3 linked regions of the Caenorhabditis elegans genome follow. The protein of the gene in region 2 interacts with the protein of the main gene of each other region in a pairwise test. Each region holds a gene or a part of one and is shown on either strand. Other genes may lie near its edges.

The links.
Region 1: the proteins of imb-3 (region 2) and zip-1 interact in a two-hybrid assay, tested with the Caenorhabditis elegans proteins (one large-scale study listed by BioGRID).
Region 3: the proteins of imb-3 (region 2) and npp-4 interact in a two-hybrid assay, tested with the Caenorhabditis elegans proteins (one large-scale study listed by BioGRID).

Annotation. Positions count from the first base shown.
Region 1 is NC_003281.10:12,334,898-12,338,652, forward strand, and holds the start of zip-1 (BZIP domain-containing protein), read left to right. Parts: upstream 1-2,009; 5' UTR 2,010-2,026; coding exon 2,027-2,308; intron 2,309-2,354; coding exon 2,355-2,454; intron 2,455-2,768; exon of another isoform or gene 2,769-2,895; intron 2,896-3,755.
Region 2 is NC_003279.8:313,241-316,995, forward strand, and holds the start of imb-3 (Importin N-terminal domain-containing protein), read right to left. Parts: upstream 1,750-3,755; 5' UTR 1,739-1,749; coding exon 1,583-1,738; intron 1,535-1,582; coding exon 914-1,534; intron 863-913; coding exon 648-862; intron 603-647; coding exon 1-602.
Region 3 is NC_003279.8:14,704,918-14,708,672, forward strand, and holds the start of npp-4 (Nucleoporin p58/p45), read right to left. Parts: upstream 1,606-3,755; 5' UTR 1,604-1,605; coding exon 1,176-1,603; intron 1,133-1,175; coding exon 1,041-1,132; intron 220-1,040; coding exon 1-219. Other genes in the region: Y54E5A.5 (Polysaccharide biosynthesis domain-containing protein), read right to left, coding at 2,249-2,350, 2,591-2,950; dus-2 (DRBM domain-containing protein), read right to left, coding at 3,372-3,642, 3,685-3,755.

The sequences.
Region 1 (3,755 bases), on a different chromosome or scaffold from region 2:
GCCGGAATTGAAATTTCCGGCAAATTGTCGGATTTTGAATTTCCGGCAAATCGACGACAAATTGTCGGTATTGAAAATTTCCGGCAAATCGACAAATTGCCGGAATTGAAATTTCCGGCAAATCGACAAATAGCCGGAATTGAAATTTCCGACAAATCGGCAAATTGTCGGATTTGAAATTTCTTTCGGCAAAAACCGGCAAATTGTCGGATTTTGAATTTCCGGCAAGTCGCCATATTGCCGGAATAGAAACTTCCGGCAAATCGACAAATTGCCGGAATTAAAGTTTCCGGCAAATCGACAAATTGTCGGAATTGAAATTCCGGCAAATCGACGACAAATTGCCGGATTTGAAATTTCCGGCAAATCGACAAATTGCTGGAATTTGAATTTCCGGCAAAAACGGACAATTTGCCGAATTTGCCGAAAAAAAATTTGGCGAACCGTCCACCCCTGATTCGGTCATTTAAAGGCGCACACTGGTTTCAAAACAAATATTGTCGCGTCGAGACCCTTTTCGCTAAAATTAGATCTTGTTAGCTTCGAAGATACACTACTTGTCTCAACAAATTTACTTTCTTCAAACTGATCTACAAGGCCAAACTACGATCACTTTTTGTGTCGATCTTTCCTTCCGATCACATCATAGGACTACAGACAGCACTCTCTCCATTTCCCACACTATTTCTTGTCTGAGGAAATGCGGACAGCGTAAACAGAAAATTTCGTGTTTCTTTCTCTCTCGCTCTCTTCGTTATCAGCACTCTCTTCTCTGCTTCACTCTGGCGCCCTCTCCCACCCCATCGCCTAAAATTTTAAAGTGAGGAAGACCCCATTCGCTTCATTTCTGCCTTCGATTTCTGTAGTTTTTACTATTTTTGGAAGTCTAATTTGTTGGAAAAAAGTTGATTTCAATTAATAAATAGTACTTAACGTGAGTATTTCAAAATAGCCATGCAATGGAAGGAAAATCAGGAATTAAGCAAATGAATTGCACAGTTATATATAGTTATTAAAATTTTGCAAAAATAGATGTAAAATCTCCAAATTCCCACTTTTTTGTGCACAATTTGGAGGCTTAAGCTACGTGTTAACTTAGACAAGTTTTAGGCAGGTAGGCATCTAAAATTAGTAGCGAAATTGAAGGTTTCTGCTAAATTTGGCCTGTTTGAACAGTTTTTCATTTTTGATTGGTTCAAAAAATTGCCTGGGATTTTCTTGTTACGAACTATATTACCGATCCAGACAGAGAGAGAGAGCGTGTGTAGTCAATTGAAGAGACACAGACATCTCGGGACCCAAAGGGCGGTGCGCGGGGGAAGAGCCGATTTGTGTCGATTTACGGAGCGTTACTCTTAAAGGAGGACTAACGGTTCGAACAATTTTGAACGTATAGACCCAAAATGGACTCAAATGAACGAATTTCGTAATGAAACTTCTCAAAAAATTTTCAAAAATTTTTTATGGCGGTTCAAAATTTTGAAAAAATTGCACTGATTTTAGCTAAAATATCGAATTTTGCCCATTTTTCCGGGGTCGCAAAAATCAGTTCAGAACTCTGCGTCTAAATTTCCGCGATTCTCGTAGATCAAACCGATATGGGGCACTCTGACACCACGTGCACACTGTATTTATGTATTTATGACGGTTCAAATTTTAGCCAAATTTAGCTGAAATCTTCAATGTTGCCTCTAGGTACATTAGGCATCTAATTTTAAATGCCTACAGGCCTAAAATTTGCCTAACAGTTAACACGAGATAGGAACGCAAAATTGGAGGTTTTAGTTAGGTTTAGCTTTATTTTTTTGAAGTGTTACTCTTCCGTAAATCGACACAAATTGACTCTTTCCCGGGTCCCCAGATGCCTGTGTCTCTTCAACTGACTACACTCTTTCTGGATCGGTAATAGCTTAGCCTTTGTAGCATTCTCTGAAGTCCGATCCGATGACTCGTTCCGTTGTTTTTTTCCTGCAAATTTCCCAGTTGAAAATTCAATGCACACTTTTCAGAAAAGAAACTATCAAAAATGAACAATCAAAATAACAATTTCGTCGATTTCTCGGAAGATGATGATATGATGGATGCGGACTTTTTGGTAACTAGCCTTGAAAATGCGCCGCCTCATCCAATAACCGATTATTCGCAGGGAGTCGTCATACCGGATGACCTGATGAACGCTTCTCTTGAGTTTCAACGAACGGAGCCTTTTTCATTCATACCAGCCGAGGAGGATTTGGCTCCGATGGAGATTCTTCCGAATAATCAAGGGGATGTTGAAATGACGGCGGTGGATAAGAATCCGGATAAGGTATATTAAATAAGAGTTAGGCCCATGAATGCTTACCGGTTTCTAGGTATTGTTCGAACTTCGCGTCGAGACCCAAATTGAGCCAACTCTCAACTATATAAACGCGGAGAATGAGGCAGTTGAATGGGATATAAAGAGTTATTATGGTTAGTTGAATAACGGGTGTATAAATATAACGGATGTATAGTATTAATATATATATATATACAGTGCGTGCAACTTCTATAGCGCCCCCTATTTTTTTCGATTTTCAGTACTTTCCAAAATTTTTTTCGAAAAACGGTAAATGCCATTCGATTTTAAATGTCGAAAAACCCCCTTGTCGTAAATTGTCGTAAAAAACCCCTTGTCAAAAAATATGCGCTATAGAAGTTGCACGGTCGTTTTTAAGACTTTTTGACCTATAGTCCTCGCAGTGTTTGATATTTTTCGATAAAAATTTACGACAAGGGGTTTTTTGACATTTAAAATCAAATGGCATTCACCGTTTTTCGAGAAAAAAAAATTGGAAAGTACTGAAACTCGAAAATAATTGGAAGCGCGATAGAAGTTGTTCGCACTGTATATATATATATATATATATATATATATATATATATATATATATATATATATATATATATATATATATATATATATATATATACCAGCCGTGGCTTCTGGAGCTGACTTCTGGAGCTGAAAACCAATTTTTCTGAAACTACCGTAATCATACAGTACTCCTACCGTGCCACCATTGTACCACTACAGTACCCCAACTGCAGACTACAAAGACTACATAGACTACAAACTATGGACAAACGGAATAAGCGCTTTATATATAGTAAATGATAGTATTATATACTATAGTATTAATATATACATATATCATATATTATAGTATATATATATATATATATATATATATATATATATATAGTAATATATTATAGTATTAATATAGTATTAAAAAGTATGATATAAAAATCACCCGAAAATGGTGATAGGAGGAGTATAAGGGATGATTATCTCGAAAAATCATATATTTCTCTTGTCGGAAATAAATGTTAGCAACAGCAACATAAACATGATTCATACTTCCTTCGGAATTGCTAACACTTAAATTTTTTTCCCTGATCAATGACATTTATTACGATAAGCAGCATATGTGATCAATTAGCTGGTCAGCTATATAATTTATCATTAGGAATAATTGAAATTGAAAAACTTTAGAGCATTAATACTTTAGAGCATCACCGAAAAATCAGTTTTCAGTAATTTTTTTCCTAGTAAATTCGTAAAAATTTATTCCATTTTAAAGGCACATGATGTTTTTTCTGAGTGGGTCTCGTCACGATCTCTGTGCATGTGCAACATTTTTGGATATTAAAAGTTCGAAAGTGCACATATATAAAGCCAGGATTTATATGTATATGCGTGCCAGGCGTGGGCGGCAATAGGCAAATTG
Region 2 (3,755 bases):
TGAGGCGAGCATGATGTTCCTTGAAGAGCTCCTCGGCGGCTTCAGCGACGGAGGCGATGGCGGTGACGATGTTCTCAACGACAACCTGGTATCTCTTGTCTCCGAGACGATTGAACACAGCGGAAAGCACATTTTCGAGTTTCTGAAGAATGAATGGAAGATATTGTCCAATGATGCTCTTTGGGCACTCCTCGGCAAAGTTGACAAGAGCCGAAGCGGCATGAGCACAGACACGTGGAACATCGGTTCTGTCAAGAGACTCGAGAAGAGCTGGTATGACGGCGGCGTGGCACTTCTTCTGAAGAGTTGGAGCGAAGTCAGAAGACATTTGTCCGATGGCGTTGCAAGCCGCGTATTGAACTCTTGGATGAGCATCATTGACGTAATTGGTGATATGAGCCATAATTTGCTCTATGTGTGGTTCCATAGATCTTTGGCACCCTTCACCGACGGCGGAGAACGCGCGAAGAGCCGCGTGCTTCATCTTCCAGTCTTCGCTGGTCAAAAGCTTCTCGACAAGTGGAAGGAACACTGGGAGCATCACTTTTCCGTTGATGCAGCAAGCAACACGGTCGATGGCGCTTTCGGCGATGATTGGGATACTGAAAAATAATTTAATTGAAGAAAAACTAAAAATTTATCCTTACTCTTCATAGTCTTCTTCCTCTTCGATCTCGTTGAGCCACTCATTGAGCACATCGTCATCCATTTCGGTCATGCATGAAAGAAGAGTCTCGAGAATTGGTCCAAGAGCTCCTGGTGCGTATTTCTTGAGTCCTTTTGGTGCGGATTCCATGTACGAGCAAATAACTTCGATGGCGTTCTGACGGACCATCTCGTTCTTTTCCTTGTTTCCAGCAATCTGAAATTTGAAAAAATGAAATTTTTAAATTGGGCCATTTAAATTACTTACAGCAAGAGTGACTTGAAGAACCTGAGACATATGAGTGTTAAGGCATTTTGGCAGAGAAGAGGCGAGCTCGGCGAACTCTCCGAGTGGTCCATCTGAATCATCCTCGTCGCTGGTTTCATTGCAAACTTGAAGAACATTTGGAACAAGAGAGGTCATAAGCCTGACAACATCCTTCTCCTCATCATTATCAACAGCGAAAGCGATAACAGCACGGACGGCGGTGGCCTTGATTTGCAAATCCGGTGTAGCCATGCACTTTTCCAAGACAACTTTGAGGGTTGGAAGGAAGTGGGCCAGCCTGTTTCCAAAAATTATTGGGCATCCGCGAAGAATAAGCAGGGCTATGTAGTTTCCGGTAAGATCCTCGCTCTTCAAACAATGATCCATCAGCTCGAGGACTCCTCCCCATGTCATATCTCCAGAATCGTCGATGAGGTTTGAAGCGATTTCAGAGATCAAATCAGCAATCTTCTTCTTAATCGAGAGTTCGGTCTCGTGAACTATCATCTCGAGAACTTTGGCGAGAATGCGCTGTTTGTTCTCCTCGTTCAGCGTTTCCCAAATCGCATCCCAGTCTCTGGCGAGAACTCGTCGCAGAAACACCAAAACTGTGGATCTGGCCTGAAAATCGAAAATTCATGGAATATATAGGAATTTGAGTGAACTAACATCAGAATTATTCGTGTGGTGTGTGTAGGCCTCGAAAAGTGCAGCTACTTTGGTTGGTCCTTCAATCTTTTCATAGACTTCTTCAGCTTGTTTTCGGATATCATTGTCTGCTGACTGCAGTTTTGTGATGAGCTCAGTGAATTGATTGACGTCCATTGTAGGGAACCCTGAAAATCAGAATATGTGCTAAAAATTTCAAAATTGAGAAGGAAAAAGATGAAAGCGAGTCGGTTTTGCAGATAAACGCCTGGGGAATACGCGGAATCGCTGAGGAAAATAGATTTTTAGTATAAAAATTGGCATTTTCAACAAAAAACCTATCGGAAAATGTGAAAAATAGGCCAACAAATATTGAATTTTGGGACAAAAACGCCTCGAGTGCACGATTCTCAACGGAGCGCACTTGCTGCGTCACACGCACTTTAAACTGTACACGGCGGGAAGTTCAAATTTTAAAAGGATTCACGTGATTTTCACGACATTTACTGGTTTTTTCAGCGAGTTTTCGCAACTTTTCGGCGACAACCGATGATGATTTATGTTTGGAATATGATGATGGTAGCGTGTTGCGAAATAAAAAATCGATGGAATGAGTCAGCGAGAAACTAATATTTGCATAGAGAACTGTTTGCAATTTTGGCATTACATTGGCCAGTGCACTGACAAAAAAAGAAAAAAATAAACGGCAAAATCTCTAATACCTATTCCAGGCAACCAGTGTCTGGCGACGATGGAGAGTAATTCTGAAAGAGACGCAGTTGAAAAGAGTGTGTTTTTCGCTTTTTTTTTCAGACAGAAGAGTAAAAAGAGTAAATACGTATCAGTAGTAAAAACAATGTGCGAGCTGGGAAATCAGTAATAATTAACTACTTGTGATACAAATTCCTCAAGGAATGAAGGAGAAAGTGTACTTTTTTTGAGACCCGAAGAACTCGGGGGATGTCCAATTGGGGGGATTACCAACTCGGGGGATTGGCCCCGCCCACAGAACCGTGGCTTGCAATACGCCCATTTCTGCAACTGCCGCACGGTTTTAAAACTGTATTTTTCTCAATAGAGCGAGAATTAACAAGAAAAAATAATTTTAAAACCGTGCGGCAGTTGCAGAAATGGGCGTATTGCAAGCCACGGTTCTGTGGGCGGGGCCAAACTCCCGAGTTGGTAATCCCCCCAATTGGACATCCCCCGAGTTCTTCGGGTCTCCTTTTTTTTAATTTTGAATTGAAAAATTGTCCGAAAAGTGCAAACGTAGAACATCAAAACCAGTGGAGGGGCGAAATTTGATAGATCGCAGGTTGCAAGAATGAGCATTCTACGAGTTTCGCGCCATTTCTGCGTAGCGCGCACAATATTGTGCAATAAATCTCGGTATTTGCGTACATGCATCATATCTTACGCGCAAATCATATTGGAAATTTCCCCGAAACACGGGGAGGCAAAGCTAACGTGGCTGAAGAAATTTCTACAGTAGTCCCATTTGGCTGACTGAATATTCAACGCGAATAAGTTTTGTACACTATTGCGTACTTTGCGTACGCGCATTTTATTTGACGACAATTCGTCAATATCAGCTCTGGCTAAAAGCGCTTTTCTCATTATTTAAGCGAATAAAAGTCGAAAAAAAATGTTTTGTGATAGAGAATAGTAATTTAAAAAATAAAAAAGTGCATATTTTATGTTTCTCATTATGTTTCCACTGATTTTCTGAGAAAAACCGAAAATTTCCTCTTTTTTCGATGAATTTCAGCTGAATAGTTTGTTTTTATCTAGTTTTTCTTCCGATTGACTGAATAACACATTTAATAACATCAATATAACGTTTAAAACATTCATTGTCTCGAAAACCAATATAAAACTCGTCAGAGAGGGATACTTAGTAGATATGCTGAACAAGGAAAAGAGAGAGAAGAACATTAACCGAATGGGGAGGGGGGAATAAGAAATCTGAACAGGAACGAAATATAAAGAACATTATTAGAAAGAACAAGCATGGCTTGATCTTCTTGGCAGTCGTCTCCTTATCCTATCACTTCTTCTCGGCGTCCTTCTGATCATGCTACCGAGCAACGTGGCACGATCGAAGAGTTTCACAACGGTTTGATACTTTCGCTCCACGAGGGGGCTCCCAATTCAGCGAGGGTCCTCTCACGAAGTTTAATTTTTTAAAATTAAA
Region 3 (3,755 bases), about 14 Mb from region 2:
ACATATTCTCGGTTTCTTCCATAAATTCTCGATTTTTCTTGAATTTATCCTCGATCAATGGGAGTAAATCTCTGATTAGAGTGGCCGCTTGTGTCCATTCACCGTCTTTCGAGGCATCTTTTGAGTCTCCGGTGCCTGTGAGTGATGACGTGGCAGTTCCTGAAGCATTTGGAAGCCCACCACCACTGCTGTTTTGTTGCTGGATTCCGCCGAGACCCACTGAAAAACAAAATGATTTTCAGGCTGCGCAATCTCAAGGCGGCAAACGATTTTTTCCGGCAAATTGGCAAATTGCCGGAATTGAAAATTTCTGGAAAATGGGAAAACCGACAAATTGACAAGTTGCCGGTATTGAAAAATTCCGGCAAATCGGCAAGCCGGCAAATTTGACGAAATTGAAAAATTCCGGCAAATTGCCGAATTTGCCGGAATTGAAAATTTCCGGCAAACCGACAAATTGCCGAAATTGAAAATTTCTGGCAAATGGGCAAACCGACAAATTGCCGAATCTTCCGGAAAAGCGGCAATTGCCGAAAACTTCCTGCAAATTGCGGTTTTGCACATTAATGTTGGAAATTTTAGAATTTTATTTTTTTCCGGCAAATCGGTAAACCGGCAAATAGCCAAATTGCCGGAAAACGCCAATTTTTGAAGAAAAATCGACAAAATAAAGCTTTTAAATGGATATTGCTTATTTTTCACGCATTTTTGGCTGAAAAATAGGAGGAAAATAAGGATTTTTGATGTATTGTTAGAAAATTTTCCAATTTTCTATAAAATTAGCGTTGTTGAACATAAAAATCGTACTATATTCGATTAAAAACACACTTTTGAGCTGAAAATGTCCGATTTTCAGATTAAAAACGCTAGTTTTGATAACTAAAATTTTGTCGAAATTCGGCGAAAAATAGGATTTCCAAATAAGGAGTTGAAAGTGGCAATTTTCTATTTAAAAAAGCATTTTAGAGCTGAAAATTCGCAAAAAATGGAATTTTTGTGCTGAAAACAGAGAAAAAAGAAGCTCCAGCATCTATACTAACATGGAGCAGCTGCAGTCGCTGGTGGAGCTCCAAATGATGTCGTTGCCGCCGCCGCCGGAGCCGTGCTCGATCCAAAAAGTCCACCTCCAAGCCTGAAAATTCAATTTTAGATGCATCGAAAGCTCTAAAACCAACGTCGGAGCCGCCGATGTGGTCGATTTCGCGCCAAAAAGACCTCCAGTAGCCGGGGCAGTACTTCCGAACAGACTTCCAGTCGCCGGAGCAGCCGTTGATGCTCCAAAGAGCCCACCAGTCGGCGCGGGAGCTGCTGTGGTGGCTGTCTTGGCTCCGAAAAGTCCTCCAGATGGTGATGCGGTGGTTGTTGTCGAACCGAATAGTGGAACTGAAGACGTTGAAGCAGGTGTAGGAGCAGTTGTTGAGCCGAAAAGTCCTGCAGAAGCTGGTGCAGGAGCTGTCTGAGATGCTCCAAAGAGCCCTGATGACATGGCAGCAGCAGGCGCACCGAAGAGGCCTCCAGGCTTTGGAGCAGCAGCAGCCGTTGAGCCAAAAAGAGGTGTTGTTGAAGCAGCTGGAGCCGTGGTACTTGTACCGAAAAGCGACATTTCTGGAAAATTAAATTTTTATGGAGAAGAAAGAAAAGAAATTGGGAAATTATTGATTTTTAGACATTTTCTATTCAAAAACAGAGGTTTTTGATGGTTTTTCCTTCGGGAATTCGAATTTTCGAAGCGAAAATCACTTTTTTTTTTTGACAATTTCGCTCAGAAATCACAGAAAACACTTTTTAACAGAAAAAGTGATTTTTCATGAATTTTGAGATGCTTATCCAGATTTTAATGGAGAAAAAACGGTGGGGATTCGAAAATTGCCAAAGAAACGTTTTTAGCATCCAACATTCGATTTCCGATGAAAAATTATCAAAAATCACGAATTATTCAGGCTAAAATTGAGTTTTAGGGCATTTATCCCACGTGTCTATGAGAAAATTTTGAAAAGTCAATTTTAGCACAGAAAAATTCATCAAAATCGACATTTCTTAGAGAAAAATATCTGAAAATCAATTTTTGGAAAAAAAATAAACAAAAATATAAGTAAAAAGAGCTGGAAAACTCGAGAAATTGGAAATAAATCATTTTTAAAAACGAAGAAATCGGTTTATATGCAAACTACAAGACAAACGACAGGGTGGAAAACGAGAAAACGGGGAAAAATCAACAAAAATTCAAAAAAAAAAACGAGAGAAATTATTACAAGGAGGCGAGCGAATTGCGGTGAGCCGTGTATGCCTCCTTATTCTTCTCGTTGACACCCTCCACGTTGCGTGCCATCTCGATTGCCAGGTAGATGATCTGTAATTAATTATCGATCGATTTTGTATGGGAAAATGAGGGATGAGGGGTTTTTGGCTGGAAATTGAAGTTTTCCCAAAAATTTAAGCTAAAAACTGCAATTTCCAGCAACAAATCATGCCGAAAATCACAAAATCTGAGTTTTCTAGCTAAAAACTGGGCTAAAAACGCAAAAACTGCAATTTCTAGCTACAAATCATGCTGAAAATCACAAAAATTTCCAATTTGGGTCCCACTAACTCTTGGAACAACCACAGTATTTTCCGGACTGTAAGCCTTCGAAGCATGAATTCTCATCAGTGTTCCCATTGAATAATCGTCGACGATATCCTTGAATTGCTCACAAAACTCGCGCCATGTCTCCTTGGCTCCGCCGTCTTTCAGCAAACTCGTCGTCACCTCCTCCACATTCAAATCGGGGAATGAGCTTCGAAATGCGGCGAGAATCGCATCCTGATGCTTGTTGAGCCGAAGAACCCGAGTGTCACACCGCATTATCAGATTCATGTGAACTTCGGACCGTTCGCCGGCTTTGATCGCCCAAGCCATCTCGATCGATTCGTCGTTGACGTATTTATCAGCATCTCCGTAGTCAGTCATTTTGTTACCTGAAAATTTGGAAAATTAGAGAGAAAATTGACTTGAAACAGGAGAATTAGAAGAAAATCATGTAAAAATCTGCAAAAATTGCAAAAATCCAAGTTTTTCAACAAAATTTGCGGAATTAAATTACATTTCTATAATCCTACACACTTAAATAACATTTTAAAGTGAAAATTACGCATGAAAACTCTGAAAAAAGCCTGAAAATCTCTAAAAATTGCGAAATAAATTCGAATATTTTTTAAATTCTCCAAACTCCGCCCATTTGCAACTGCCGCACGGCGTTTTGCCATCCCCGCGCGCGCAGTGGGGATTCGATAATTAATGGAATAAAACCGATTTTAAATGCAAATTATAGCAAAAACAAACAATTTTTCAATATAATTTAACAAAAAAATAGCAAAAAACAAATTTAACATCATTCTTCTTCCCAATTTCCAACCAAAAGATTCCGAATATTCATTCCATGTAAGGCTGCGAGCGCGGCGACCTGCTCAGCCATTCTTAAATTCGGTTGTCCAATTCCTGATCGATATTTCTTGTCACCAATACACGCCGTCGCCACGAATCGCTTATCATCTCGTTTTACGACCTCATACGTGGCTTTTGGGATCTTCGTCTCCACACAATAGTCGTGAAGCACCATTTTGGGCGTTGGCGAGAAGCCGACCGAGTTTTTCAGGCGTTTTCTGCAGAAAATTAATGGTTTTTTGTTTAGGAGGAATTCTTACAATGGAAATGAGACTTCAATATTATAAACACCGTCATCGTCAACACGAGCTCGCTTCTTACTCTGTTTCTT